5 linked regions of the Canis lupus familiaris genome follow. The protein of the gene in region 5 purifies or fractionates together with the protein of the main gene of each other region. This does not show direct contact. Links are inferred from orthologs where the notes say so. Each region holds a gene or a part of one and is shown on either strand. Other genes may lie near its edges. The genes, in order: STRN, STRIP1, STK26, STRN3 and FGFR1OP2.

What was found.
Region 1: the proteins of FGFR1OP2 (region 5) and STRN purify together in Homo sapiens (affinity purification with mass spectrometry; 4 studies listed by BioGRID and IntAct, with this or other methods). This does not show direct contact. The link is inferred for Canis lupus familiaris from reciprocal best matches to the Homo sapiens genes FGFR1OP2 and STRN.
Region 2: the proteins of FGFR1OP2 (region 5) and STRIP1 purify together in Homo sapiens (affinity purification with mass spectrometry; 3 studies listed by BioGRID and IntAct, with this or other methods). This does not show direct contact. The link is inferred for Canis lupus familiaris from reciprocal best matches to the Homo sapiens genes FGFR1OP2 and STRIP1.
Region 3: the proteins of FGFR1OP2 (region 5) and STK26 purify together in Homo sapiens (affinity purification with mass spectrometry; 4 studies listed by BioGRID and IntAct, with this or other methods). This does not show direct contact. The link is inferred for Canis lupus familiaris from reciprocal best matches to the Homo sapiens genes FGFR1OP2 and STK26.
Region 4: the proteins of FGFR1OP2 (region 5) and STRN3 purify together in Homo sapiens (affinity purification with mass spectrometry; 5 studies listed by BioGRID and IntAct, with this or other methods). This does not show direct contact. The link is inferred for Canis lupus familiaris from reciprocal best matches to the Homo sapiens genes FGFR1OP2 and STRN3.

Annotation. Positions count from the first base shown.
Region 1 is NC_049238.1:29,431,118-29,436,661, reverse strand, and holds part of STRN (striatin), read left to right. Parts: intron 1-1,930; coding exon 1,931-2,035; intron 2,036-3,163; coding exon 3,164-3,250; intron 3,251-3,355; coding exon 3,356-3,525; 3' UTR 3,526-5,544. UniProt on the Homo sapiens protein: Calmodulin-binding scaffolding protein which is the center of the striatin-interacting phosphatase and kinase (STRIPAK) complexes.
Region 2 is NC_049227.1:42,384,532-42,390,841, reverse strand, and holds the start of STRIP1 (striatin-interacting protein 1), read left to right. Parts: upstream 1-2,687; 5' UTR 2,688-2,702; coding exon 2,703-2,882; intron 2,883-3,283; exon of another isoform or gene 3,284-3,433; intron 3,434-5,166; coding exon 5,167-5,236; intron 5,237-6,193; coding exon 6,194-6,268; intron 6,269-6,310. UniProt on the Homo sapiens protein: Plays a role in the regulation of cell morphology and cytoskeletal organization. Required in the cortical actin filament dynamics and cell shape. Part of the striatin-interacting phosphatase and kinase (STRIPAK) complexes.
Region 3 is NC_049260.1:103,927,867-103,933,410, forward strand, and holds part of STK26 (serine/threonine-protein kinase 26), read left to right. Parts: intron 1-1,528; coding exon 1,529-1,637; intron 1,638-1,721; coding exon 1,722-1,879; intron 1,880-3,054; coding exon 3,055-3,240; intron 3,241-4,584; coding exon 4,585-4,733; intron 4,734-5,544. UniProt on the Homo sapiens protein: Serine/threonine-protein kinase that acts as a mediator of cell growth. Modulates apoptosis. In association with STK24 negatively regulates Golgi reorientation in polarized cell migration upon RHO activation.
Region 4 is NC_049229.1:10,486,231-10,492,392, reverse strand, and holds the start of STRN3 (striatin-3), read left to right. Parts: upstream 1-2,464; 5' UTR 2,465-2,669; coding exon 2,670-2,951; intron 2,952-3,068; exon of another isoform or gene 3,069-3,336; intron 3,337-3,393; exon of another isoform or gene 3,394-3,536; intron 3,537-3,570; exon of another isoform or gene 3,571-3,716; intron 3,717-3,773; exon of another isoform or gene 3,774-3,927; intron 3,928-6,162. Other genes in the region: small nuclear ribonucleoprotein-associated protein B'-like, read left to right, coding at 1,912-2,455. UniProt on the Homo sapiens protein: Calmodulin-binding scaffolding protein which is the center of the striatin-interacting phosphatase and kinase (STRIPAK) complexes.
Region 5 is NC_049248.1:25,862,857-25,868,877, forward strand, and holds the start of FGFR1OP2 (FGFR1 oncogene partner 2), read left to right. Parts: upstream 1-2,449; 5' UTR 2,450-2,478; coding exon 2,479-2,613; intron 2,614-4,402; coding exon 4,403-4,520; intron 4,521-6,021. UniProt on the Homo sapiens protein: May be involved in wound healing pathway.

The sequences.
Region 1 (5,544 bases), on a different chromosome or scaffold from region 5:
ATAATAACTATTCTAAGATTTAAAAAATTGTATCTCTTTTTGGAAATAATTTTAAGTATTTGGAAAAGCTTCAAAAATAGTACAAAAACTAGCCACTAGCCACCCTTCATCCAGATTCAGTTTTTAGCATTTTGCACATTGTGACATTTGCTTTATCATTCTCTGTATATGTATATAATTTTAGATTCTGAACCACTTAAGAGACATCATAACACTGTGTAGAGCCCTAGAGCCTTTAGCGTGTAATTCCTAAGAATAAGGACATTGTCAGGACGCCTAGGTGGCTCAGCGGTTGAGGGTCTGCCTTTGGCTCAGGGCATGATCCCAGTTCGGGGATCGAGTCCTACGTCAGGTTCCCTGTGAGGGCCCTGCTTCTCCAGAATTCTGCCTATGTCTCTGCCTCTCTCTGTGTCTCTCATGAATAAATAAATAAAATCTTTAAAAAAAAAAAAAGACATTCTTTTTTTGACATAGCATATAATCAAAATCAGGAAATTTAACAGTAACAAAATGCTATTGTCTAAAATTATCATTTATATTCAAATTTGCCAGATCTCCCAATAATATGCTTTATAATAAGGTCATCCCTTCCTCTCCCTGGACCATGACATGATTATTTTAACTTTGACATATCTTTAGTGTTACCTTTATATATAGTTTTTTCCTTGAAAAAAAAAAAAAGGGTCTTAACAAAACTTACTAATTAAAAGGGTTTTTTAATGATTGATTTCCTTTTGATGAAAGACTTTCAGAAGGGCCTGTGATAGTTTAGGTACCATTTTTGGCAGCAGTGTGATTTGCATGAGCCATCTAATATTGGTACTGACTTTGTCACATGATTTTGGGGGAGTCACAACTTTTTCTAGACCTTGGTTCATACACTGTGATAAGGACCTAAGGACATGTGGCCTGCCTGTCCCATTGTGCATATAATTGAAATTCTTTAAAGTTACTATATAGTGCACATAATAGTCAGGATGCTGTTTTAAGATTCCAAACATGATAGACTGTTAAATGATGACCATTTCTATTTTTTTTTAAGATTTTATTTATTTTAGAGGGAGAGTGTGTGCACATGTGCACACGCAAGTTTTGGGGGAGGAGTAGGAGGAGGGGGAGAGAGAAAGAATCTCGAGCAGAGTCTGCACTGAGCCTGACACAGCGCTAAATCTCACCACCCTGAGATCATGACCTGAGCCAAAATCAAGAGTTGGACACAACTGACTCAGCCACCCAGCTGCCCCGATGACCATTTCTATTACAAGAAAGAAATTGAAGAGGTCAGAAGCTCTCTTTGTCATATTTGTCTTCAGATGATAACTATGTGATAAAGAGCTCTGTATCGGGCAGCCCCGGTGGCCGAGCAGTTTAGCGCCGCCTTCAGCCTGGGGTGTGATCCTGGAGACCCGGAATCGAGTCCCACATCAGTGTCCCTGCATGGAGCCTGTTTCTCCCTCTGCCTGTGTCTCTGCCTCTCTCTCTCTCTCTCTCTCTGTGTCTGCCATGAATGAATAAATAAATAAAATCTTAAAAAAAAATGCTCTGTATCTAGAAAGGTGGAGATTTAAATTTGAGTATCGTCTACATGTAAGTAATGATGGAACTTTATTAAAGCAGTAGAAGTATTGCAGATGATCAGAGAATGAGATAGGTCAGTGACCCTAGGCTAAAGCCTGGGTGGCCCCCATTGATTGCAGGTGGAAAAGAAAATTCTCATTTGTGGGTACTTCTATATTTGTTAGTATGGTATTGCTCAGGCAGTTCTTTTCTAAAACATTAAAATTATAAATAGTCACAGAATAAATGAACTAAAAACAAATTAAAGTCAAATCATTTACTTTTTTAGTCTCCTAGGTGAGTATTCAGTTCCCTTGTGTGAAGAAATTAGTAGTTTTGACTAACTTTGTTGCTCTTTTTTTCTTTTTTGCAGCCAGTTCTTCCTGCCAAATAAATAGAGTCATCAGCCATCCCACTCTTCCCATCAGCATTACTGCTCATGAAGACAGGCACATCAAATTCTATGATAACAATACAGGTAAGTGTTTTGCAAAGTGATCAGTGATAAAGCAAAAACAAAAAACAAAAAAACACAAACCCCACTATAAGTACGCTGATTTGGGTGTCTCTTAGTGGCTGCATAGTCCAAGAGTAGGCATGAAAACAGATATAGACACTCCCAGCTCAATTTCTGTTTAATCTGTCCAAATCTGCTAAGAACTAGTCTTCATGGTACTATATAGAATCATCTTGGTTTATTTAATAAGTAGATACTATGTTTTGTCCCTAGAGTCAAGGTTATGAATAGGGACACAATGAAAAGGTCATTCAAATAGCAATAAAACTGATCTCTTGCTGTGAATATATTGGGGAAAAAGTAGAAACATGTTGGAAGTAGAGGCATATGATCATTCTATCATATTTTGTTTAAAATTGTTCAGTGAAAAAAAAAAAGAAAAAAAAATAAAATTGTTCAGTGTTTGCATAGCCTTAGTGTTGGAGTTGGAAACCCAAGTCATTTGGTTAACTTGATTGACTGTCTGGTTCTGATTGATTTGAATTAGGATGTGTGGGCTTTCCCATTTTTTTATTGAATTGCATTTCACCAGTTTAAAAGAAATTCCTGAAGAGCTGTGTTGATAGGAGAACACTCCATATTATCAGCCAAATTTACCTGAGTATCTACTGTTGACTTTTGCTGACTTTGCTTAGCTGTGAGTGATGAGTAATTTAATATTTTAATCCCTTCCTATATGTTATTTCCACCAAAACTGTGGCCAGATTTTCTCTGTTCCTTTATCTTTGTCTCATTCTCTTCTGTTCTCACAACCCATATAATTTACCTGTAGCTAAAGGATGCAAAGTAGCTGTTTAGTAATGTCTGAGTTAATGAACATGACTCAAAGAATATTTGTGTACAAATGACTAACTTTTATATTGTTATTTGGAAGACACAAATATAATCTGAAATTTGAGCTTTTGTTTTTCTTCATTACCATGGCTAGAGTGGGGAGGGAGACACATTGTTGAGCTGTGATGGAAAAAGCTATTAATGCAGTAAGTATTCAGAGAGGTGACTGGAGAAATCAGTGTAACGTGGTAGCTGGCATATATTTCAGGATAAGGAAAACTATTAATAAAGAGCAATAATCTCTTTTTTCCAAAGGCAAACTCATCCACTCCATGGTAGCCCACCTAGAAGCTGTTACAAGTCTAGCAGTTGATCCTAATGGCTTGTACTTGATGTCTGGCAGTAAGTACATCAACTATGGATTACTTATTTATCCTTATTATTTTCATGTTAATGTAATATTTCCTTTCAATTTCTTTTCTTTTCTTTTTTTTCCTTTTGATGCAGGTCATGACTGTTCAATACGTTTATGGAACCTAGAAAGTAAGACATGTATCCAAGAGTTCACAGCTCATCGGAAAAAGTTTGAAGAATCAATTCATGATGTAGCTTTCCATCCATCCAAATGCTATATAGCCAGTGCTGGGGCTGATGCACTAGCTAAAGTCTTTGTATGACACAATGCATCATCTTCACCTTCTAGCTCTTTATAAATAATCAACTGCACAAAAGAGATACAGAAGACCAGGGCAAGAATCAACCTTTCCTGCCCTTTTGTTCTGCTGAAGGAGCACAGAGAACATTTGTTAAAGTATAGTTTTGCAATTCGTATACTGTTTTCTAAAACTAAGGTTTGTTCAGGTTGCTGCAAGCTCAGCTGAATCTGTGAGCCTGAAAACTGTTTCAAATTTTCCCCCAAATAGGAGCTTTTATTTCTGAGGTTGTTCTGATTCGCTAGGCAGGCCTGAGCGAACATAAGTTTAGCCTGTCCCTATTGAGTAAATAGGGCATGCTATAAGGGATAATTAAAAAGCTTGATGACTGGGAATGAGTGGAGGAAGAACAGAAATTTAGACCTAGTTCTCCCCTGAGAATCTTGTTAAACACATTAGGTAGTCAAAACAGTAATCTTTACCATATCTGCTGTACTAACCCCTATGTGCGTAATGACCAGGCAGTGTTAAAATGAGTTTTTAATTTAGCTCTCCTTTCATCTGTGCACATAAAGCACCTGGCAAAGCATTTTACCTATTAGGGGAAAAAAAAAAAAGAAATGCAATAATATGTTAAATATATTATTATTCAGAAATACTAAACAAATATTTAGTTTGTAAGCAGATTTCTATATTGTATTACATTTTTGAAAATAGATTTGGTACCATTGTAAAGTTTAGCTGTCAAAAACAGTCACCGTTATGAATAGTTGATAAGAGTCTGCTTTTACTAATGGGTTTAACTTATTCAAGTTTGAGATTCTGTTTATTTTTAAGGGCAGGCAGGGCATATCTTTATAATACTCTCTGTTAATTTTAAAATTCACTTTATTCATGTGATATTTATAGTACCAGAATGGTTATCTCCTATCGATGAAATCAGACCTTTCAGTGGTTGAAAAGTTGGAAGTTATCTGTGAGTACTCACATTGGTCAAAACCCACAAACCATGCTTCAGATGACCTCTTGCTCTTTGTCTCTCATGTTCAAATTATCTGACATCTACCAAAAACAGTTTAAAATTATTATGTTTTAACAACCCAAAGGGTTTGGTTAATGTCAGGCAGCTGTCTTTGCTGGACTAAATAAAGCAACTCTTTTGTACCCCAGAAGTCCTCCATTAATATATTCAATAAGGGGAATCTGGAAATCTGGATGGAAGAGTTTGGTGCATAACTTTGGCTAAAGAGTTCTCATTCTCTTTCCCTTCCCCTACTTCTCTTCCATTCCTTAATTGGAAAACTCAGAGTATTTTAATAGGCAATATATCAATATCATTTCTGGAGAATATTGTCATAAAGGACCAGGCTTCCCTGAGCTCACCTATCCTGTGACCTACATGTCTTGGGATTCCCATGACCCCACTCTTTGGACTGAATATATAGACATCATCCCTACAGCTGTCTCACTTGTCTTCACACTCTCTTGTTTACCCCAAATGTCAGAGACCAATGTAGAAATGAGAAATAAATTACTAATGCCCAAATTTTCAGCAAAATGTATGTATAATAGTTCCTCACCTTTAAATTCATATCCATAAAGAATTTAATCTTTTAATATAATTCCTACATTCCTCTCCCTACATATTCCATTATCATATCAATGACACTTCTGATAACATGTATATCTACTTCTTGAAGATGTATTCTGGTGGTGATATGGATAGTAATTGACAGTTTTTCTTTAAAATATCTGCTTTTCTGCCTCTAGAGTTTTGCAGTATACAGGCAAATTTTCTTTAAAGATGTGTGCTGGATTTGCCTCATCGATATCTGTATATCGATCTGTATATGCTTTAATATTTTGACAGAGCAACCTTGCCATTTCATCTGTGCTTTGGTTAACAATGGGCTCAAGGGACTCCTTTGTATAATCAAATGAATTGACCTGGACTTGAGCTACCAGGTGAATGTTTATATTATTCCCATGCAGATACAAAATTCCACATTTTATTTGGTGCATTCCTCTTTTGGTTCTGAGTGA
Region 2 (6,310 bases), on a different chromosome or scaffold from region 5:
AGACAGGATTAATGTTATTTGCCTTATTAACTGACTACCACATTATCAACCTTTTCTTTTCTTTTTTCTTTTTTAAAGATTTATTTATTTATTTATCATAGACAGAGAGAGAGGCAGAGACACAGAAGGAGGGAGAAGCAGGCTCCATGCCGGGAGCCTGATGTGGGACTCGATCCCGGGACTCCAGGATCGCGCCCCGGGCCAAAGGCAGGCGCTAAACCGCTGAGCCATCCAGGGATCCCCAACCTTTTCTTCTTCTCATAGCCATTAATAGAGAAAACGCCACATAGCACTGCAACTAGAGGGTAAGACTTGGTCTGTATGTGCTCTACAAGTCATGACTTGAATATTGAGCATATCAGTGACTAGTAATAATCTGACTAGGGCTAAGATGGAAATTTCCAGAAATATGCAGTTAGGTATGGATGGTAGATGACACCCTAGAGGTACACAGCACGGGCCAACTTCCTTCTACAGAGCCTACCTGGGACCACTACCATGTTCTTGGGCGCAGCCCCATGACTACTTGTGGCAAAGGAAGGGCCTTCTCACTGTAGGGTTCACCTCTTGGTAATAATAATAATTCCCCTTTTTAAAAAAACACTTTATAGTTTTCAAAATGATTTCACATAATTTGATCCATAGCCTTCATAAAACATGGGATTATCATCAGTTTACAGATGAGGAAAGAAGAAAGTCATAACTATTTTCCTACGTGTCACTGAAAATTCTTCTTAATATTAAACATGAATATTCATATCTTCTATATATTCAATTTTATCAAAGCCCCATTATTTAGTTAGTCATTTTTTTTATTGGCTATTTCTCAAATTGGGTTGGTCCCAACTTTATACAACTGAAAACACCAATGGCTGGAACATCATCACATATATATCTTCATCTAAATCTTTGTTTCTTTAGAATCTTTTAATAGAAGTGGAATTATTAAACTAATACCTTAAACTTTCCCAACTCTGAACGGAGATGAAACAGTATAGGGTGTTTCAAGGTCTATTCTTCCCCCTAGGTGATAGAACTTGTGGTATAGGTCAGTCTTAGAACTTGGCCAAACTGGTGACTAAAACTAGAGAGCAGTTATGTATTGGGTTTTGTGGGACTTGCTAATTTTATCCAAAAAGGTTAGCCGTATTAGTCCTTTTCCTGCAAATTCCTAGTTTTTCCTATCACCTTGGCCCAGCCCAGCTTGGATGAAATGCTAATTTACAAAGTGTATTATTAGACATAAAAGGAAATGGGCAAAGGATGGGAAGATCAGTAGGAGGAAGAAGCAACATAGTGGCTTTAAGTTTATTCATCAGTTTACAACAAAGACTTTTAAAGCAACTACTAGTTGGATGGTGGAAATTTCGAGAAAGTTGCATCACGGGGAACTTTCTGGGAATTGAGCTGGAGTAGCCAAGATGGAGTTCTGGAGGGACAAGGACGGAGAAAATGCCTTTAATGCCTTCACAGCATAGTAACAGGTAATTATCACATGTTACCTCTAAGATGTTTAATGGGCATCTCTAGCTTGACATGCCCCAAAGAGAAATCTTGATCTTCCTAAACCTGTTTTTCTTTCTCCCAGACCTCCCTAATGTAATCAGCAATACAACCATTCACCTAGTTGCTTAAGCCAAAAATCTAGGACTCATTCTTTACTCCACCCTAACCTGCTGATAGGATTCTAACCTTTTACTAAATCCTGTCACATCTACCCACACAACATAGAAATATTGTTAACTCCACTTTGGTGCAAGCACCATCATTTTCATCTACAAAGTTCCTAACCTGCCTACCCTCATTCACTCTCAAGTCTCTAATTCCTTTTCCAAAAGCAGCCAGATTGGTCTTGTAAACTTCAGACCACAACAGCTCCCTGGTTAACACCCTCTGATTGTTTTCCATTTTACTTAGAATAGAAAATAGAAAAAAAAAATTTTTCATCCCCTTCACGGCTCTGCATTTATCTGGCCCTCATCTCCTCCTGTTCATCCCCTGGCTCACTCCACTGCCACAGCGACCCCAGGACCCTCTGCTTACGATGCCTCCACGCCTCTTTGCACGGTAGGGGCACGCGGGGGGCTCAGCAGTTTAGCGCCACTTTTGGCCCAGGGCGTGATCCTGGAGACCCGGGATCGAGTCCCACGTCGGGCTCCTGCATGGAGCCTGCTTCTCCCTCTGCCTGTCTCTGCCTCTCTCTGTGTCTCTTATAAATAAAATCTCTTAAAAAAAAAGTGTTGAATGAGTGATGAATGCATGCTAGTCACAACTCTAATTGCTTTAGCCACTTGTTTCGCCCATGACCCCCAGGTGAGTGTCCACTCCCTGAAGACTGGGGATCCTGCCCGTTTTGTTCACTGTTCGGTCGCCTAAGCTTTGCAAAGGGCTATCACAGTGACAAGTGCAAAGCTATATTAAGGCAAAGTGGGGGCAAGTCAAGGACTTGAGGAGCTATGGGACTACTCACAGGTAAAACTGCACCCACACAAGGACTAAAAAGGGGTGAGAACCAAGCGGAGAGAAAGCTAAGAGCCCGGGAAGAGATGATCTCGCGAGGTGTTGGGCAGCCAAGATGGCTTCCGGCACTTGCCGACACACCTAATATGGCGACGAGGGGGGGGCGTTCCTGGAGGAAATCACGCGAGAGTTACATGAAGACTAGAGTCCGAGAATTGAGCCGGGGGTGTGGAGCCGCCAAGATGGAGCCGGCAGCCGGCGTTCCCGTCCCGCTGATCATGAACAACAAGCAGCCCCAGCCGCCGCCACCGCCGCCCCCCGCAGCCGCGCAGCCTCCCCCCGGGGCCCCGCGGGCCGGCGGGGGCCTCCTGCCCGGGGGCAAAGCCCGGGAGTTCAACCGCAACCAGCGCAAAGACTCGGAGGTCAGGCGCTTGGGGGGCCGGTGTAGCGCCCGCGGGCGCGGGGGGGCGGCTTTCGGGCTGGTCGTGGGCTCCCGTGGGCTTCCCGTGGGTTCCCGTGGGCTCCCCGTGGGCTCCCGTGGGCTTCCCGGAGCCCGGGCGGGCCCGCGGGCGGGTGGCACTTCACAGCGAAAGGAGCGGGGCGCGAGGCCGGCGCCCCCGGCCGGGCGCGAAGCCGGTGCTCCTCCGCGGCCTCCCCGGCCCCGCCTCCGGGACGCCGCCCCCCCCCCCCCCCCCCCCGCCCCGCAACGGCCGGCGGAGGAGCGGGCTCGGCGCCCCGGGACTCCCGGCCTCCCCGCGGAGACCTCAGGAAGGGAGCGCCGGGGCCCCGGGCTGTGACCCGCGGCCGCCCCCGCCGAAGGTCGCTCGGAGGTCGCTCGGAGGGGACCCCCGCTAGTGCCCGCGCCGCGGCCGGCCTCACAGCCGGGAAATCCGGTCCTCTCAGGCTTTGGTGTCCTGGTGGCAGCGCACGCCCCTGGGAAAACGTGTCAAAATTTGGCAAGTCCAAAATAGAGGTACTCTGAGCTTGAAGTGAATTATTTGAAAAAGCAGTGAAACTGGTTTTTTAGGAGCTTTTGCATGGTGAAGTATGAAAGGCGTGGGAGTGAACCTGCCTTCATCAGGAGAGGACTTAGAGCTTAAGAATAGTTTTAGATTTTCCTGAGTAGCCTTCAGTGATCAAGGCAATGATCATGACCCTCTGATGCATGTAAATTTCTCTTTTCTACCCTTTAATTTCCATATAGACTCATCGCAGGGAAGGCAGCCAATGAACACATTTAAGCTGAGAGACCTGCTTCAGTTATTTTATTGGAGATGCCAGAGCTGCACTCCGCTCTTTGGGGCATAGCTGGAATCCACCGGCTGGGAGCTTGAGCAGTGCCTGGAGGACAGCGAGGCGGTCTTGGGGAGAGCCTACTGTGTGCTACATAATTTTGATTAGTCCTTAAATCCTTCAAGATAGGGGCGCCTGGGTGACTCAGTCAGTTAAGTGTCCACCTTCAGCTCAGGTCATGATCCCTGGATGCTGGGATCGGGCCCTGGGTTAGGCCCCCTGCTCAGTGAGGAGTGTGCTCCCTCTCCTTGCCACCTATTCATGGGCTCTCTTAAATAAATAAATAAATACTTAAAAAAACAAACAAACACAAAACCTTCAAGATGGATTTTTATCATCCCCTTTCCATAAATGAACTGAAGCTCAGTAACTAGAGAAAGTATGCATTATTGCCTTCGACCGAGTAAAGTTCTTTGTTTTTCCATCTCTGTGGGTTTGCTATATTGTTTTGTGAGTGCTCTTTGTCTTACAAAGTAGCTTGTAATTAGGCCTGAGGCCTTTACCTATTTCGTCCCTTCTCTCTTCCTAGCACAAGGTTTTCAAGATGGTGTGGTCTCCGTGATCACCTATCCCCAGCAGTGAACAGATTCTCTTTGTCACTTTCTCTCCTGTCTGTTGGAGGGACACCATTCTGCCCGTCAGTTCTCACGGAAATTTGAGAGAAGGGCAGGAAAGCGGACTGTCAATACTCATTTTGCCCTGAATTGTTGATGGCTTACCACTAGCCAGAAAGAAGTGAGGCTTCCAGAATCTTAGCACCATGTGGAATGGGTCATTCACTGCACAGAATACATAGAGGCTTTGTGTTCATTTGTGTTCATTTATCTAACAAGAATTTATTTGACTATAAACTCTTCATTTATATTCGCTCATTCAAGCCAGGTAGCGTGCTGGGCATTGTGAAGTCACAGGTGAGCAGAGTGGACAAGTTCTCTCTCTCAAGGAACTTGGAGTCTCATGGAGAGGCATACATGAAATAAACACACATGCTGGTATATAATTATAAGTTGAGGGACGCCTGGGTGGCTCAGCGGTTGAGCGTCTGCCTTTGGCTCAGGTCCTGATCCTGGAGTCCCAGGATCGTATCCCACATCGGGCTCCCTGCATGGAGCCTGTTTCTCCCTCTGCCTGTGTCTCTGCCTCTGTCTCTCTGTCTCTCATGAATAAATAAATAAATAAAATCTTAGAAAATATATATATATATATAAATTGTGCTACTAAGGAAAAGTGGAAGGTGTTCTTGCAAGGGCTTAATAGGAAGACCTGAGCTAGCCCTGGAGATAAATGTGTTAATACCTAAGAAAAGTGGAGGCAGTGGTGTCTTATAACACAACAGTGTCTCAATGCATATGTATTTCCTCCTTTGGAAAACAGGATGGTCTCTTGCATTACTCTTTGTCCTTTTCTCAACAGGGCTATTCTGAGTCGCCAGATCTCGAGTTTGAATATGCTGACACAGACAAGTGGGCTGCAGAGCTCTCAGGTAAAACACAGACCTCCATATTATTTGGGGGTGCTTTTTTCTGTATTGGTCTTCAATAAAATTGAGAGTGAATGTCACAAGTGCTTTGCAATATAAAAAGGTATTCTCTAGGTTATGGCCTATGACTTTTTAGTAGAGACTAATTCTTCTAGATGTCAAAATTAAAGCAATGAACAGCTTTAAAAAAAAGAAAAAAGTGAATGTCATTTTGGAGTTCATTTTTTCACCTGGTTAATTATGATTTATATATATATACATATATACACATATATATATTTATAATGAACATGTTTACATACATGTACATACTTATATATACACACACACACACACATATGTAAACATGTTAATTATGGGATTCAGGCTTTGTGTATCTTATAACTTTGGCTTTTCCTTTACTTTGGTGAAGCACCTCTTCTGTGTGGTCAGCTCTTTTGGCTGTGGCCTAGTCGCAGACAGTGATGCTCCTTGGCCATGCACTCTGTGCCCAGCAGTGGTCTTTCCTAGAGCAGTAGGTCACTCATGAGGCTTGCCAACAAATGTGCCTGCATCTGTGCACATCTGTTACTGCCACTGCTACTCACATGTAATGTGAAGCTAGCCTGAGCTGCTTCTCAGGCCTCCATAGTACAGGTCCTATTTAGGAGGTCAGGGCCACCTGAGAGACACTTATCCATGGTGGCAGTCAGCCTTGTCATGGCATGGTGGGATTGATGTGCACAGGACTGGAAAGGCCTGGATTTATGTGGCATTCTGATTATCGGCTGCTAGCGGGAATCAGCACTCTCTGCATCGTGCACATCAGAGCACTCACACCCCCTTAGTCATTGGATAGTCTGGGAGTCACTGTGATTCAGGGAGACTGGGGCCTAGAAGCAGATGCCTTATATTCTTTGCTACCTATGAGAACTGCTATGGAAGGTGGACGTGGAGCTAATGAGACTTTGTTCTTAATAGAGCTTTACAGCTACACGGAAGGGCCAGAATTCCTGATGAATCGAAAATGCTTTGAGGAGGACTTCCGGATCCATGGTGAGCCGGTTCCCTGCACTTGTTGGTTCCTCTGTCCCTGTG
Region 3 (5,544 bases), on a different chromosome or scaffold from region 5:
TATCTCAGTTATTTGGTAGTCCCTCAAAATTTCATTGCCAGCATCAATAAAATGACATTTTCAGGGACACCTGGTTTGCTCAGTGGTTAAGTGTCTGGGATCAAGCCCCACATCAGACTCCCTGCAGGGAGCCTGCTTCTCCCTCTACCTCTGTCTCTGCCTCTCTCCGTGTGTCTCTCATGAATAAATAAATAAAATCTTTTTTAAAGTGCCATTTTCACCTTTGAGAACAACTTCAATCACTCCTGTTTAAATAGAATATTTTGGGGTGGAAGTTGATAGATTTATAAGTAAATAGATAATGTTACCTAGGAAAGGCACCTATTGAACTATGGCCATCCCCGGAGTACAACATATATCCAGACCACAGTTAATATTCAATGGCAAGACTGAAGTATGGGTTCTATTTTAAGCTGTTAAATTTCAACATGAAAGTGCCCTTTATTCAGAATAAATATGGCATTCATGAAAGATGAAATACACAAGGTGCCAAAGAGCTGTGAATCCCTCCCAGTGTGAAGCAGAGTGGGCGATGTTTGATTTCCACCACCTCTTCCCTCCTTCCAGCAAACAGAACTCTACCTCAGCCCTGACTTTAGATTCCCACCCTTTCCTGTAATAATATTGTACAGTCTACTGTTTGTGCTTTATGAGGTACCAGAATTTTAAAATAACCATTTATTTTAAAGAGAGATTTTCAGATATTCCATTACAATTTCTCCTGAAACCTAATCATTGCTTTCCTTGTATTCCAGTTGGAACTACTGGCTTTGGTACAGGGATGGGGAAAGAAAGGGAAATGTGTTATGGTTATTTGAAAAAACTGTATACTTTCACGATTTGATCATTGTTTTTTTTTGTTTGTTTTGGTTTTTGGTTTTTGTTTTTTTTTGCTTGTTTGGGTTCTGTTTTACAATGGAAGTCTGAATAGATTAATTATATATTCCTAACTAACTTTTAAATTTTGGTCTCAAAAAGGCTCTCGGCTTTCCAAAGTGATTGAGATACACGAATGCTAAGAACTGTGCTGTGAGCTGACCTATATGATCTAGTCAAGTTGCTGTGGAAATCTTAGTGACTGTATGATCTCAAAATAGTTTAGTGTAAATAGTTGATCATTTAAATAGCCAACACCAAAATTGTTAAGTAGTTGATTTCTTTTTTCCTAGCCAAAAAAGAAAAAGAGAGAGATTGAGAGAAGAAAGCTAGTTCTGTCATTGTTAGCATATTTCTTAACTCTTAGATGTAAATATTTGAGAACCTCAGGATTTGGAGCTGGTACAGGGGTCATACTACTTGTATTATATTTCGAGATTAAATCTAATCATGTAAAAACCTTTTCAGCCCTTTGACTTAACTTGTTGACTCTCTTCCCTTTTAAATTGTTTTCCCCTTTGTTTCAATATTGGCTTAATAAAGGCAGAATTGCTTTGTATATCTCAGTGATTCCTTTATTTCAAAGATAATATCCGGTTTGAACTTGGTTGTTCAGACATGTATAAAAGTGTGTGTGTTTTCCCCCCCTAAGCTTCGAGCTGGTCCATTTGATGAGTTCCAGATTGCTACCATGCTAAAGGAAATTTTGAAAGGTCTGGACTATCTGCATTCAGAAAAGAAAATTCACCGAGACATAAAAGGTATACAAAAATCATATATGAACCTGAGAAATGTAGCTGTGTCCTGAGGATGCTGAGCAGATTTCATTTCTTTTTTCCTCCCAGCTGCCAACGTCTTGCTGTCAGAACAAGGAGATGTTAAGCTTGCTGACTTTGGAGTTGCTGGCCAGCTGACAGATACACAAATTAAAAGAAATACCTTTGTGGGAACACCATTTTGGATGGCTCCTGAAGTTATTCAACAGTCAGCTTATGACTCAAAAGTAAAGTGTACCTGTAAAAAATATTTTGTTTTTAATAGTAGGTTCTATATAGCATGCTATTCTATGTAATAAACTGCCCTAATCTTCTTTCTTTTAAGAGTATTTCAAAAGCTAGAGTTATGTCAAGTGTTCCTGCTAAGTCATAAGATCCCAGGATGCTGATAGTATTTGGACCCTATTCCCTTTAGTAACCTTTTGTCCAACTTAGAATAAAATCTGAGATCATTACTATCACATACATGGCCATCTATGATCTGGCCTTTGCCTCTCCAGCCTCATCTCCTATTACTCTCTTCTATATTCTGTCTCCTTTGACCACAGGGGACTCATTGCTATCCCTCAAACATATCAAGTACCACTCTGGCCTCAGAACCTTTGTACTCAGCCTTCCCTCTATCTGGAATAACCTTCCTACCAATCGGGTCTCTGCTTCAACATTACTTTACAGCGTAGGGGCTCCTGGGTGAGTGGCACAGTCAATTGGGCATCCAACTCTTAGCTTCGGCTCAGGTTATGATCTCAGGGTTTTGGGATCAGCCCCATGCCAGGCTCTGCGCTCTTGGAGTCTGCTTGAGATTCTCTCCCTCTCCCTCTGCCCTTCCCCCTTAAAATAAATCAATAAATCATTTTAAAAAACACATTACATCACAGAGTAGTCTTCCCTAGCCATCCCGTGTAAATGTGTAGCCCCAGGACCCCATAACTCATTATCCCTTTATCCTGATTTTATTCTTTTCTTCACAGAACCGAGTACCACCTGACATCATATTATTTATTTATCTGTGTCTTTATTGGAACTCAAGCCCTATGAGAGCAGGGATTTTTGTCTACTTTACTCACCACCTGAATCCTCAGTGCCTAGAATATGGTACCTGGCAAAACATTAGGGAATTTGATAATTTTTTAAATAAATGAATTCTGTTAAAAAATGTATTACATTTACATTTCTTGAGATACTATTTTTGTAAAGTTTTACCTATTTCATTGTTTAAGTCCTCTCTACCCTCAACGTGGGGCTCGAACTCCTGAACCCAAGATCAAGAGTTGCACACTCTTCTTATTGAGCCAGACAGGCACCCCTCTTGAGACACTTTAATATCATATGACCCACAGGCTATTTCATGACTGTTGGAATGGAATTTCGAGGTATTATTTTTTTCTCTCTCTTCCCTCAGGCTGACATTTGGTCATTGGGAATCACTGCCATTGAGCTAGCCAAAGGAGAGCCACCTAATTCTGATATGCATCCAATGAGAGTTCTGTTTCTTATTCCAAAAAACAATCCTCCAACTCTTGTTGGAGACTTTACTAAGTCCTTTAAGGAATTTATTGATGCTTGCCTGAACAAAGATCCATCATTTGTGAGTATATATTGCTATTACTACTATTTGTTTTCTATTATTAAATCTATATAAAGCAAATGTGATTTTTCTACAGTGAGGAATACAGTGCCTGTGTATTGTCTAAGATCCTTCTAGGAACCTGATTCTTCGCTCTGTCTTGCTAATTCTCTTCAGTTCTTAACAAGACCCTTACTTTATCTTCTCCTTCCATTGTATTTTTTTTTCTCTTTCTCATGGTTCCTAGCTTCTTCCTTATTCTATTGATCATTTCTTATTTCAGGAGGAAGGAAATTTGAGATACAAAGTTCCTGTTACAGGAAGTCATTAAAGTACATGTGTAACTATCCAGTGATTTTTATTCAACTGTATTTTTATTTTTCATGAAAAGTGATATGTGCATTTCACATTTTTTTTGAATTTCCAACATATGAAGTTATATGCTTTTTCTGAAGTCCAGTGAACTCCACTCATTTACCTGGCAGATTTGATCACAGTTGCTTTACTGATTCTTTTTTTTTTCTTTACTGTTTCTAAAATAAAGCTGCCTGGTGACTTCTAGGGGCTAGAAATGTACAAGAACTAGGTTTCGATGGAACTGTTTTTAAATTGAGAATGATTATGCTGATATTAATAAAACACTAGGGGAGAAATGTCCCCCATAGCACCTGGTATTTGCATTTAGATGTGCTATGAATTAATGCATGATGGAGAAAGGCTTAATCTGAGCATCATATGATGTGTGCAGATGATAATAAATTATAGCCCTCTAGCTGTCATCCATTTTTTCAACTTAAATATAATAAAAGTATTTGAAATGTTTTTAAATTTTTACTTATTTTCAAAATCCTGCCATGTGTTTCTCTGCTTTTGAGAGGGCCCTGCCTGTCCATTTGCTGGTAGGTAGGCCACCTTTTTGACCCTGGGCTTGAACAAATTGGTACCAAGGTAGTGTATTGAATTCGGTTGTCTTGAGGCACTTCAAAAAGTAGAATTAGAGCAGCCCCAGTGGCTCAGTGGTTTACAGCCCTGCCTTCAGTCCAGAGCGTGATCCCGGAGACCCAGGATTGAGTCCCATATCGGGCTCCCTGCATGGAGCCTGCTCCTCCCTCTGCCAGTGTCTCTGCCTCTCTCTCTCTCTCTCTCTGTGTTGTGTGTGTGTCTCATGAATAAATAAATAAAATCCTTTTTTAAAAAAAGGTAGAATTAGCTATTTATTACCCCTACAACATTTTAGTTGTCTTCATGTTTGTAGACCTAGTTTTCAGATCTACCTTTTCAGCTTAATTGAAATGATTTTTCACCATCCCTTGCAACCATAAAAGAGCCTAGAAATATTCATGCATCCTTCATATTTTTCCTTAGCGTCCTACAGCCAAAGAACTTCTGAAACACAAATTCATTGTAAAAAATTCAAAGAAGACTTCTTATCTGACCGAACTGATAGATCGATTTAAGAGATGGAAGGCAGAAGGGCACAGTGATGATGAATCTGATTCAGAGGGCTCTGATTCGTATGTACAAATCATTTAATTTTTATGTAGGTAGCCCATTCTAATATTGCCTTTTAACTAGTATCTGTTCTGCTTTCTCTAGCATAAAATATAAACCTTATTTTAAAGTTTTACTGTAGAAACCGTGAAAATCTTTTAAAATCACAGTCTGTGGAGTACAATGAATTTGGAAGCAGGTTTTTTTCTTTGAAGTGCATTGCTCTAGTTTTAAATGGTCTCGGTCTAACCCCTAGTGGATACTTAAGTATATTACAAAATTTTGGAATATGATTTGAGTAAAAGTGATTTATTAGTTTGCCCAAAGTGATAAGGGGCTATGTCTTCTCATACTTTGGGGGGAACCTGCAAAATTCATCTGGAGGACTGACCTCCAGGCCTTTCCCACCCCTTGCCCACATGCTAAACTGTGATCAGACTAATATATTTAAATATTCGTTTATGTATGTTTTGTAGCCCCCCTAAAAAAGTTACACTGTTTTTCTAACTGCAGCATTTACATTGACATCTTAGATTCTAAGCCCATAACTTAATTTAGACTAGGGAAGTCTGTAGGTTACACCAGAATTTACCATTCCACTGGTCAAATTGGCACAAAGGCAACACCAAGTTTCTTTAGCTAATACTCTCAGTGTCCTGCATTTATTTGAATTACCCTATCTTTGAAAAGAATAAGAACTACCAGGATGATTTTTGTACCCTGTTGTAATGGTTTGTTGGCTGTGGCTGCCTGTGCAAGTAGCCCATGGAACTTTAAAGGAGAATCAAAAACCACATTACAGAAGATCCTGATCCAGTCAGTGGGGATTGGTGG
Region 4 (6,162 bases), on a different chromosome or scaffold from region 5:
ATTACACACAAAGGACAAGATTCCAGGACACTGGAGTATTCTCAGGGGTCATGGACACAAAGTATAAGGACAATAATGTGTACAAAATATTCTCCTCACAGAGTCAAAAATCTTGGTGTCTTTCTCTTTTAATACTCAGGGTAAAAAGTCAACTATAAAAAATGAAAACAAAGTAAAAAAGAACTCAGGGCAGTTTTGGTCATTGACCCTTGAAATAGCTGGTATAATGGTAGCAAAAAAACTAATAATACAAAAAAATTGAGGTGAAGGAAAAATATATCTATTAGTCTAGTCCACATTTCAGTTATTAATCATTTTTGGGAGACTGCACTATCCCAGACATGGAAGGTGGGGAACATTAAGGTGGCCAGGTTTAAACTAACACAAGAATAAAGGTAATGGAATAGATGTGATATAGATAAGGAATAGAAATGAAACATGTACTGAGAAAGGGACTGGGTGTAGGGGCTGAGTAAAAAGAAGATAGTACAATGACTACCAGCCCTCAGGTTTGGATGTAATGCCATTTAATAAGATAGGTAATAGAAGAGAAATAGTTTTTTTTTTTTTTTGGAAGGTGGGTGGGAAGGAAAATAGAAGGATTATCAATCTAGTTTTTACTTAAGCTTGAGGTACCAGTGGGAAATATAAGTACTCATGTTCTTCTTTTGATGCCACATAACAGAGATCAATTACATCTACTCACCTACATTTCTTTGAGACATATTTGGAACTTTTTCTTTTCTTTTTTAAAGATTTTATTTATTTATTCATGAGAGACAGAAAGAGGCAGAGAAATAGGCAGAGGGAGAGGCAGGCAAGGAGCCTGATGTGGGACTCATCCCAGGACCTCAGGATCACATCCACAGCCAAAGGCAGACGCTCAACCACTGAGCCACTCAGGCACCCCTGGAACTTCTTCTATACTATGAGGCCCCTCAAAAAAGGAAGAGGACTGAATAAGCAGGTTTTATGCTGGTCACTATAAAATGGAAAAATAGTACTTAAAAATATGGAGAAACAGTTTTTAATAATATGTGACCTAAGACCTCACTCATTTCATAGACAAAACATGGCAGCAGGGGTAACAGATCATCACTAAACATAGTAAGAGTAGACATGATTAAGTAAGATGTACTATTTTAGTCTTTTTGAAATTATACTTTGAGTGGTGCTGTGCATTACACAGTGAGAGTTTTACTGGTAGTAGAGAAGAAAAAAAATAATGCGATCAATTTTATGTGCAGTTTTCCCGCATAGCTGTAATTATTGAACCTTTTTTCCTTATTACATTGTTAAACATTATTCTTGTCCTATTTTTCAACCAAGTGGTTATTAGCTATATTAACTTTCTTTAGAAACACAGTAGTTCATTAAGGATGTTTCCTGGCAACCTAAGCATATAAAACACACACAATGGTACTTAAAAGATTAAATGTGTCTTTTAGGTGTATATTACATTCATTTAAACATCATTTAATGACCCAGGAAAACATCTTCGCGGCTGTTCATCTAGGATTTTATATTGTATTCACGACGCTTTTATTTTGTTTTCATCACAAGATTCCATGAATGCCACCTGTGAACCCTTTCATTCTAAAACACCGAACTGTTCGTCTAACAAGTCTCCTTCAAAGTTACCTTTCTCTCTCTCCCCCCGTACCATCGTCAAGATCTAAAGCTTTTCACTATTCCTTCTCCCAAGAAAAAAATGAAAACATTCACTCCTGCTCCTCCCCCCCCCCCCCCCCGCGCCAACCCACCCCAGAATAGGAGAAAGAGGGGCGGCAAAGTGGAACAAGCTGCGTCCCGCGCCCGGGAGCACGGAGCTAGGACACCGAGACCCGCAACCAGTCACCGTGTCCGGAGGGGGCTGGGCTATCTGCCAAAAGAGAACGTCCATCCCCAAAGCCTCAGGAATGACGGGTACTTAGAGCGAGTGACAAGCGGAGGAGGAGGCCCGACCCTCTGGGACGTCCTGAAACACGCCAGGAATGCGAAAGAAACGCCAGGCATCCCGGGCGGGCGGCAGCCGGCCAGAGCGCCCAGCAGGTTACGACGGTCCTGGAAGCAGGCATGCGGCTGGCCCCGGGGGGGGGGGGGGGGGACGACGCTCAAGGGGCTGCTGACTGAGCGAGGGAAACTGACGGTTGGGAGCGCCCGAAAGTTCGGGTGGGTGTCCCGCAACACAGCCCAGCCCAGAGGCCGCAGCGAGGCACCGGGGCAAGCCGGAGGAGCGCCTGGGGGCGGGGCCAGAGCCCCACCCCGCCTCCAGCGCCCTCACGAGCCCTCAGTACGCCTGCGTAAGGCGAGGCCGCACTCTATTTGGCTGCTAGGCGCGCGGCGGCAGCGGCGTTCTCTACCCGGCATGCTGCGCGGGAGCGACGGCCCTACGTCTCTCCCCTTCCCAACCCAGCCCCCTCCCCCCTCCCGCCGCGGCCCCCCCTTTCCCTAAAGTGAGTGAGTGAGACGGGCAGATGGAGGAGGGACTGTAATGGCGGCGGCCGGCAGCTCCCTGCTCTGACCCGCGGCAAGCGTACGGCAACGACCCCCTCCTCGCCCCTCTCCCAGGCGGCCTCCGCCCCGCCGGCAGCGCGGGGCCACCCTCCCCGGCCCTTCCCCCAGCCGTCGGCTTCTCGCCCTGCGCCCCGGCCGGGGCCCCACACACAATGGACGAGCTCGCCGGAGGCGGCGGTGGCGGCCCGGGGATGGCGGCCCCTCCAAGGCAGCAGCAAGGACCTGGGGGGAACATGAGCCTTTCGCCAGGGGGGAATGGAGCGGCGGGCGGCGGAGGTCCTCCAGCCGCCGAGGGAGCGGGTCCCGCGGCAGGCCCGGAGCTGTCCCGGCCGCAGCAGTACACTATCCCGGGGATCCTGCACTACATCCAGCACGAGTGGGCTCGCTTCGAGATGGAGCGGGCGCACTGGGAGGTGGAGCGGGCCGAACTGCAGGTACCTCGCTGGGGTCGGGGTGCGGGACGGCTGCGGCGGCGGGGCTCCCGGCCGGGGGGTGGGGCCGGGACTCCCCTCGGTCGGAGCCCCGGGCCTGGGGGGCTGGGGGCAGCCTACCTGTGCAGCTCGGGGGGCGGTAGTCCTGCCTACGGCTCTGGCGACGGCTCTCCCGAGGGCCCCCCTCCCCCTTTCCCGCAGAAGCTTGTTCCCCAGCCCTTGCTAGCTGCGCGGTGCGGGCTTCCTTGGGGCAGCCATTTTGACTTTTAGTATGGCGTCTGCGGGGGCTCCTCTGGAGGCGGCCTGCCGGGCCTCCGGGGCTTGGGGCAGAACTCCTCTCAGTGGGAGAGTCCGGCGTGGGGTGACGGGGCGCGAAGCTTGCAGCTGACTGCGCCTTCTGCGAGGGAGAGCCCGAGGGGAGGGTTTGCGATGGGCATTTCATTACCTTTTCCTTTTTCACCCCCCTATCCGATTTGGCGTTTCTTGGGCCCCTCTCCCGTAGTTGGTGCGCACTTGCCCCTTGACAGCCACGCTTCTTTCCAGGGCTGCCACCGAGCGTAGTGTCCTGCTGCTGACTTGGGAAGTTGACGTTTCCTACCGCCAACTTTAAGTACCTTCTTACCTGGGATGCTGCCTTACTTAGGTTCCCTCCCGGTCAGTTCTTCCCAAGCGACTGACTCATCATCACTGCTTCTCTAAATTGAATTTTTCTTTCGGGAGTACCCTTCCTTCCCCGGGCCTCCAGCCCCTCCTTTAGCCCTGTGAAGCCGAACCAGAGTCTCTCTGCCGTGTTTAGGAAACAACCGAGGAACGATTTAGTGTTACCTTGAAGTGTGACACGTACTTGTCCCACGTTAACTGACTCGCGCAGGGGAAGCAAGGTTAAATATCCCCAGAATCCTTCATAATTGAGCCTTACTTGATCTTTTAAAGGTGAAACTTTGCTAGGCTGGTTCACCTAACTTGTGGAGGAACGTTGGTAGTTGAAGAGCTCACGTCTTGGATTTCAGAATGGCTACATCCTTTTAAGAGGATTGTTCAACTCTTGGGTACTTGTGTTTATTTTTAAATCCCTTTCCAGGGCAAAATTAGGCTTAGAAGGAAAAAGCATGCATCCAAATAGTGTTGCACCTGTTCTTCAGACTGGTATATATTTAGAATGTAAGTAGTAGTGTTCGCTGATATATATATATATCATATATGCCTACGGTGAATAGTTAGGAAGATACGGTGTTGCAGGAAGGAAGACTGGATTAACTTAGGGTGTCTTCAAACAAATATATATTTTTTTAGTTTAATTTTGAATTAGTTATCTTTGATTCTACAAAGTTAGTGAAGCTAAACTTTTAAAAAGGACTTTTATATATCTTGACACTTTATCAAGTCTTCATATCTGATCTGATTCTTTTTTTTTCTGAATTTTTTAATTTATTTATGATAGTCACAGAGAGAGAGAGAGAGAGAATGGCAGAGACATAGGCAGAGGGAGAAGCAGGCTCCATGCCCTGGGAGCCCGATGTGGGATTCGATCCTGGGTCTCCAGGATCACGCGCTGGGCCAAAGGCAGGCGCTAAACCGCTGCGCCACCCAGGGATCCCTTTATCAAGTCTTCAAAAAACTTAATTATAAATTAACACCTGTTAGTCAATTCAATGTTTTAGAATTGTGTTTTGATATACTGTAGGACTTTTAAAAATAGAACTTTCCAAAAGCTTGTATCATAATTGTCTGTAGTTTCTTTTTTCTTTTCTTTCTTTCTTTCTTTCTTTTTTTTTTTTTTTTTGTAGTTTCTTTTAACTTGTATGTATGTAGTCTAGTTTAAAATATCTGGGATTTATAGAGTTTTGCTGATAAACAACTTTTTACTACACCATGTTGCAAACAGTATACTGTATGAAGATAATAAGACGGTTATTTTTAAAAATTGCATTTAAAAATGCACTGAGGCTTAGACTCACTAAATAATACCTCACCAGTCCCTGGATATAGTGTCTAATGACCTCTGCACTGTTGTATGAAAGATTGGTTTTTTTTTTTTTTTTTCCCCTGCCCTAGAGGATGAGACATTTATTTTGCCCTGTAAGCACCCGAAAGCTTGGATTTTAACACTTTGTAAGTTAACAGTGCATTAGTCATTTATAAGCTTCACTAATTTAAGTATCTGAGGAAATAGCTTATTTGTGTCTAAATTAAAAAAAAAACCTATAATGAAGTCTATATGTCTGCCTTAGCCCTTTCTTTACTTTTTAGTTCTCTTTGCCAGTAACAGTGAAGTCTTTTAAGGAAGATTCCTTTTGCTTGTTTGCTTTCCAGTTGATCTGCTATTGTAATACTAGTTCTGATAAAGCCTTTCTAAGCTTTTTTTGTTTGCTTACTTTTAAGAAGTTCTACAGTGTCTCTAGACTCTTAGTTTTTCCTGGGATTTTCATTATTTCACACTGATTCTTTTGAAATGGAATGTGCATGATTCTGTTTGTTTTTGTTCTACATATTTTTCTAAAATGTTATATTGGGTTACTTAGTTAAAAGGGTTTCAGGTTTGTTTCTGGAATATCGAATTTGCTTTAGGTACTTTCAGTCTTTAATAAGATTGCTTGTGAGATGCACATTTAACAGTGTATATGTCAAGGGGCACCTGGCTGGCTCCCCTGATAGAGCATGTAGCTCTTGATCTCCAGGTTGTAAGTTTGAGCCCCGTGTTGGGTGTAGAGATTACTTAAAAAAATAAAATCTTAAGAAAAAAATGTGTCAAATAAAAAATTTATTAAGGTTTCAGTGAAGTGTCAACGGATTTTAACTGTAAACTTTATTTTTAGGAATGATAATGTAGAAATAAGAGAGCTTAAATATTATTTTGTGTATAGCCTCAGATCACTTTGATGTGTGGATGAACAGTGACTCAGAAATGTTCAATATTAGAACTATTCAATGATGAATATGAAGAGGTTAGGGTACACCCAATTTTGATGTAAAATTTCAGCATGGAATCCTGTTTTCCCTGGCTTTGCAAAGGATCTTTTTTTTTTTTTTTTTTTTTTTTTAATTGTTCAGGCTTCTCATTGAACTTGGGGCTTGAACTCATGACCCTGAGAACAAGAGTTGCATGCTCTACCAACTGATCCAGCCAGGCGCTCCTGTAAAGGATTTTAAGTTGGAATTTTGTGGTGTGGTTCTATTCTCTGTAAAAGGAATTTTGGGTGAAGGTCTGTCTTAG
Region 5 (6,021 bases):
GTGTATATCACCTATCATCTAATTATATGTAGGAGCCTTAGTACATTCTCTTTGAAAAAAAAATAATGTTTATTATATTTGTAGATGTTGTATTACGCAGCATAAAGAAGTATTCTTCAGATAGAGGTCCCAATAATATTAATTACAGGTTAGGACCTAGGATTGTTAGAAGTTCTTAGTACTTGAGTTGTTCTTATTAAGCCAAGATAAACAAACTGTCTCTAAAGTCTTTTCCAGTTTTCTCTAGGCTTTTTCTAAAATTTGTTTTTTTATTTTATTATTTCCTTTGACCATCTGTTAGAACCCATCTTCTTTACTGTAAGACAAATAGTCTTTTTTTTTTTTCCTCACTCATTACAAGTCAATTTGCTCCCTTCTCTCCCTCCCAGTTTGTTTCTTTGATTTTGTTTCTTTTTGGTGAGGGGGTGTAAATAACTTCAGAATTTTACTCTGAAAGATCTCATGTTTCATAGTAGTGAGGTTGGTTAATGGGAGATATGGTGGCTCCCATATGAATAAGAAATCTGTATTATTATCCATGTATAAGTTTAGGTAATTCTCCTTGGAAGTTTAGAGAAAGGACAGGGCATTGTTGGATGCTAATGTCTTCCTTGGAGCAGCATCTTGGACAGAACTGGATAGTTGTCCTTTGTGTTTTAGCCAGTATGAGACAGTTGTGACTTTTTTTTTTTTTTTTTTTGACAGCTGTAACTTTAATGACCCTTTTGCTTTTTGTTTTTTCAAGTACCTTTTTCTAAACCTCTCAGATCTTAGGAGATCAATCTTTCGATTATTTTATCTGGAGAACCAGAACTTGTATTAATTTCCAGCTTGTTTAATTTTTAAAGCTCCCTGAAAATGTCATATTGAATATTTTTCTAAATTGGCAGTTTTACATTGTAATTTATTCTGATTAAATCCTCTTATTCAGGTTTGAACCAGTACAGTAGAATTTAACAGTCTTGCATTCTGTAACAAATTTCTGTCTTCCTAAAGTTGATGAAATTCTTAATTATAGCCCTTAGCTTGGATCCATACCAGAGTTTTAATTTAACTTCTATAGACCTGGCTTCTGGCCTAGTAAATTTACAGTGTGATTTTACTTTTAGAGAAAACCCTGAAGAAAGGATGGCTCATATAGAAGGTAAGGTAAAACTTACCTTACAACGAGAAAAATCCAAAGATTAAGTTTCAGAAGATTGAAGTCTTTGAAAGAGATTATTTTAAAATTAAGATTTTGTTTTGAGGTCTCAGTACTAAATGAAGAAGCTAACTGTTGAGTGTTTCGTATTTTTCTGCTAATTTTTTTAGCTCTTCTTAAACACATTATTTATTGATTTTTAACATATCAAAAATTTCCCGTATGGCTGGTGTTCTAAGTCATATATTTTTTTAACCACTTAATAAGGAAAGCACAAGACTTAGGATTATAATACTTCATATATGAAGTATTTCCTCCAGCGATGCCTGGGTGGCTCAGCAGTTGAGCAAGCCTGCCTTTGGCTCAGGGCATGATCCTGGAGTCCCATGTGGGCGGGCTCCCTGCATGGAGCCTGCTTCTCCCTCTGCCTGTGTCTCTGCCTCTCTCTCCGTGTCTCTCATGAATAAATAAATAAAATATTTATTTATTTATTTTTACTTTTTGGTAAAAGTCTTTAAAAAAAAAAAAAAAAGTATTTCCTTCAGTCAGGATGCCTGACTGGCTCAGTCAGTTAAACATCTGCCTTCTGCTCAGGTCATGACTCCTGGATCCTGGGATGGAATTCCTGTATGGGTTTCCCTGCTCAGCAGGGAGTCTGTTTCTCCCTCTGCCCCTCCCCGCTGCTTATGTTCTTACGCATGTGTGTTTTCTCCCTCTTTCTCTTTTTCAAATAAGTGAAATCTTAAAAACATTTTTTTTTAAAAAGTAGTTCCTTCAAAAGAAGGACACTCTGAAGGACACTCTGACATAGTATGACACATAGAGACGACTTTAGCTGGTCAATAAGTGTGAGTTGTGAAATGGTTGGTGTCTCAGGTCACTTAACCAAGCAAAGGCTAGAAAGGATCTCATAGCTAGTGACTGACAATCATGGACCACAGAGTATGGACTAATAAAGTGATCTTTTTCACAAATATCAGGAGAAGGGAATGATCTCATGAAGAACACAATTTCTGTGTAATATAAAATGTATTTACTTGATTTGTACTTTTTTCCCCACTATAAATTCAGAGTGTTTTAAATACACGCAGATTACGTCTGCAAATCATTTATATATGCTCTAATTTTTTAATATTATAAATTTACTTTTAAGCTTGTGCCCTCCGAACAGAAGCAAAACCACAAGTGTTCTTACATGTTTTCTCTCCCCAGTGAACAATCCTGTAATAAATGTAACTTACGAAGCATATCGATGTTAACATGAAACTAAAATAATAAGATGATAAGCTGGCTTTGTTTAGAGTCTTGATTTTAATTTTATAGGTATTCCTTTAGAAATGAGTTGCACAATTGAGAAGGCACTTGCTGATGCTAAAGCTCTTGTTGAAAGATTGAGAGATCATGACGATGCAGCAGAATCTCTGATTGAGCAAACCACAGCTCTCAATAAGCGAGTAGAAGCGATGAAGCAGGTTTGATTTCTTTTCTTTCTTGTGGATTCCACTTTGAAAAAAGCAGTCAGATATTTATGTATTGCTTGAATCATAAATTTCTGCTTAATACCGTTTTTTTAATGTTTTATAAAATTTAAAAGTAACTTGATTTGTATATTTTAATTTTATTTTAGATTATCATATAATTTTGTCATGTCCAGGTGATACAGATATATATATGTATATTCTAAAAACCATATATTTGATTATTTGTTTTTCTGGCAGAGTTGCACATTGGAGTTTAGAAAATATATTAGGTTCTGATATATTAGAGACCAATAATATCTTTCACTAATAGTGATATATTTTGCTCTCTTATTTTTATAATGTAGAAATGTTTATATTTTTCTTTGTAAAAGTACTTAGGTGATGTTATTTAACAACAGAATTTTCAAAAATGGCATAAGGCAATATCTGGTTTATATATTATGCAGTTGTTGAATTTGTACTTCCTACCTTAATTTCCATTTAGTGCTACCAATTAAAGAAAAATTGAAAAGGGTTTCAGTTATTATCCTTATAATGTACATAGGAAGTTTCTTATATAAGAATTGTATATAAGAATTTTCCAGTGGTCCACGGGGTTAAGGTACCATTTTAAGCCTACTTATGATAAAAATTTTCAACTTTAAGATAATTATACAGTCTCTCCTTATGATGGAAATCATTTAGGGGGAAATGTATATTCATAGCCTACTCTTGTGAAACTCATCCATTTTGTAAAAGGAAGCAACCCTGGAATACCACTTTTAACAAAGCTATTGGAAATAATAGAGCAAATTTACTTGTTTTGTTGCCTTAAACAGATTACATATCTCCCTAACTGTCCAGCTTGACTCATGCATTCCAAGGAACTAATATCTGGTACTGAGTCATAAAAACAAAGGAGTTTGACAACTAAAGAACCAGAAATGTTATAATGAATACATTACTAAGCAGCACATCAAAATGCCTTGAAAATGAAGGAGTACAATTTTAAAGTTAGATTCACATTTATTTCTAGGTTTTTTATTTCTTTTTTACATGTTCTTTTGCTATTGTTATTGAGATATAATTCACAATACCCATATAGTTTACCCTCCTAAAGGGCATAGTTCATTGGATTTTAGTACATTCATAGGTTGCGCAACCACAATCACTATCTAATTCCAGAACATTCTCCTCACCCCAAAAGCTTACCTCCATTAGCAAGCTAGGTATTCCCTAGCTCTCCCTTCCCTCAGCCCCTGGCAACTAATCTTTCTATCTCTATAGATTTGTCTCTTTGGGATATTTCATGTGAATGGAATCATACAATATGTGGCTTTTTGTAACTTTTTTAAATGTAATGTTCTTGAGGTTCATCCATATTATAGCATGTTTTAAGTTTTTTATTCCTTTTTATTGCTGAATAATATTCCATCATAAGGATATAGTGCATTGTGTCTATCCATTCATCAGTTGATGGGACATTTGGATTATTTCTATTTGGGGGCTGTTATGAATAATACTGCTGTGAATATTTGTGTACAAATTTCTGTGTAGACCTATATTTTCAGTTATCTTGGGTATATACGTGGGGGTAGAATTATAGTCATCCTGCTATACATTAGATTCTCCAGAACTTACTCATCGTTTGCCCATTTTTAATACATCATCATTAAATTATTATTATTATTGAGAGTTGTTAAGAATTCTTTATATATTCTGGATTAGGCCCTTATATATATTGAGATATGTATTTTCAAATATTTTCTCCCAACATGTTCTTTTTTGATCTTTTCATTAGTATCAGGAGGAAATTCAAGAACTTAATGAAGTTGCAAGGCATCGGCCACGGTCCACATTAGTTATGGGAATCCAGCAAGAAAACAGACAAATCAGAGAACTGCAACAAGAGAACAAAGGTGGGGTCCTGAGGTGGCTCAGTGGGCTAAGCAGCTGCCTTTGGCTTAGGTCTCAGGATCCTGGGATGGAGCCCCACATTGGGCTCTCTGCTCATTGGGGAGCCTGCTTCTCCCTCTCCCTCTGCCTGCCACTCCCCTTCTCTCTCTCTCTCTTTAATAAATAAATAAAATCTTTATAAAATAAAAGAGAATGAAGGTAAGATATATAATTTTAAGATTATTAAGAACGTATGATTGTAAAAAACAAAGGAGTTTGACAAATAAAGCTAAAAACCAGTAATGTTATAATGAATTATGTTACTAAGTCACTCAGCAAAATGCCTTGAGAATAAAAGTGTAGGCTTTAAAGTTAGATTCACATTTATTTAAAAAATTTTTTCATTTCTTTTGCACATACTCTTTTATTACTATTGAGATATAATTCACATACCATAAAATATACTCTTTGGGAAGGCATAGTTCATTGGATTTTAGTTAAAATTAAACTTGGTTGACCATTTGCTTCAACGTGAATAGAACTGGAGGCTATTATGCTGAGTGAAGTAAGTCAATCAGAGAAGGACAAACATTATATGGTCTCATTCATTTGGGGAATATAAAAATAGTGAAAGGGAATAAAGGGGAAAGGAGAGAAAATGAGTGGGAAATATCAGAGAGGGAGACAGAACATGAGAGACTTCTAACTCTGAGAAACAAAGGGTAGTGGAAGGGGAGGTAGGCAGGGGGAAGGGGTGACTGGATGATGGGCACTGAGGGGGGCACTTGATGGGATGAGCCTGGGTGTTATACTGTATGTTGGCAAATCAAACTCCAATAAAAATACATACAAAAAAAGGGAAAAAATTAAACTTGGTTGAAAGAGCTATAATACACAGTTGGACTCTTAATTTGGGATCAATTAATATTTTTAAAAACAGGGAAATGGGCAACTAAATTTCCTTTTCGGTATTCTCATTTCTGGTCCAAATGCCCAAATCATATGTAGTAGTCTTTATCCTTTCCTACATATGAATGTCTACCTTACTTGGAGTCATCTTAGATTCCCACTCTCAATATCCAGTTTATGCCGTTATTACCTATGAAGTAACTCACTTTCTTCTCTACGGAACAACTGCTTTAGTCCCTTGCTTAGATGTTCATGGTCTGTTGCCAGAACTATCCTAATTGGCCTCAATGATTCCAGTTTCTTTTCCCCCTCTAGTCTGTCTCCCAACACAGGCATCCAATTCATTTTTCAAAGATCTCTCTGATCATGTTATTCTTTTGCTTTAGAACCTTCATTGTATACTTATTTCCATATCCAGAAGCTTTCAAAATCAACTCCAAGCCTTTTTTTCTGTCTCCTTCCCATCCTTCTCTTCTCTATGAAACCTTCTTGCTGTCCTGAACCAGTTCTGAACCCACCATCTGCTTTCATGCCTCCCTGTGTAGAATGCCTTTTCCTTTTTCAGCTTAAGGAATGCAAGTTCATCTCAATAATGTGAAACTTTCACCAATTTCT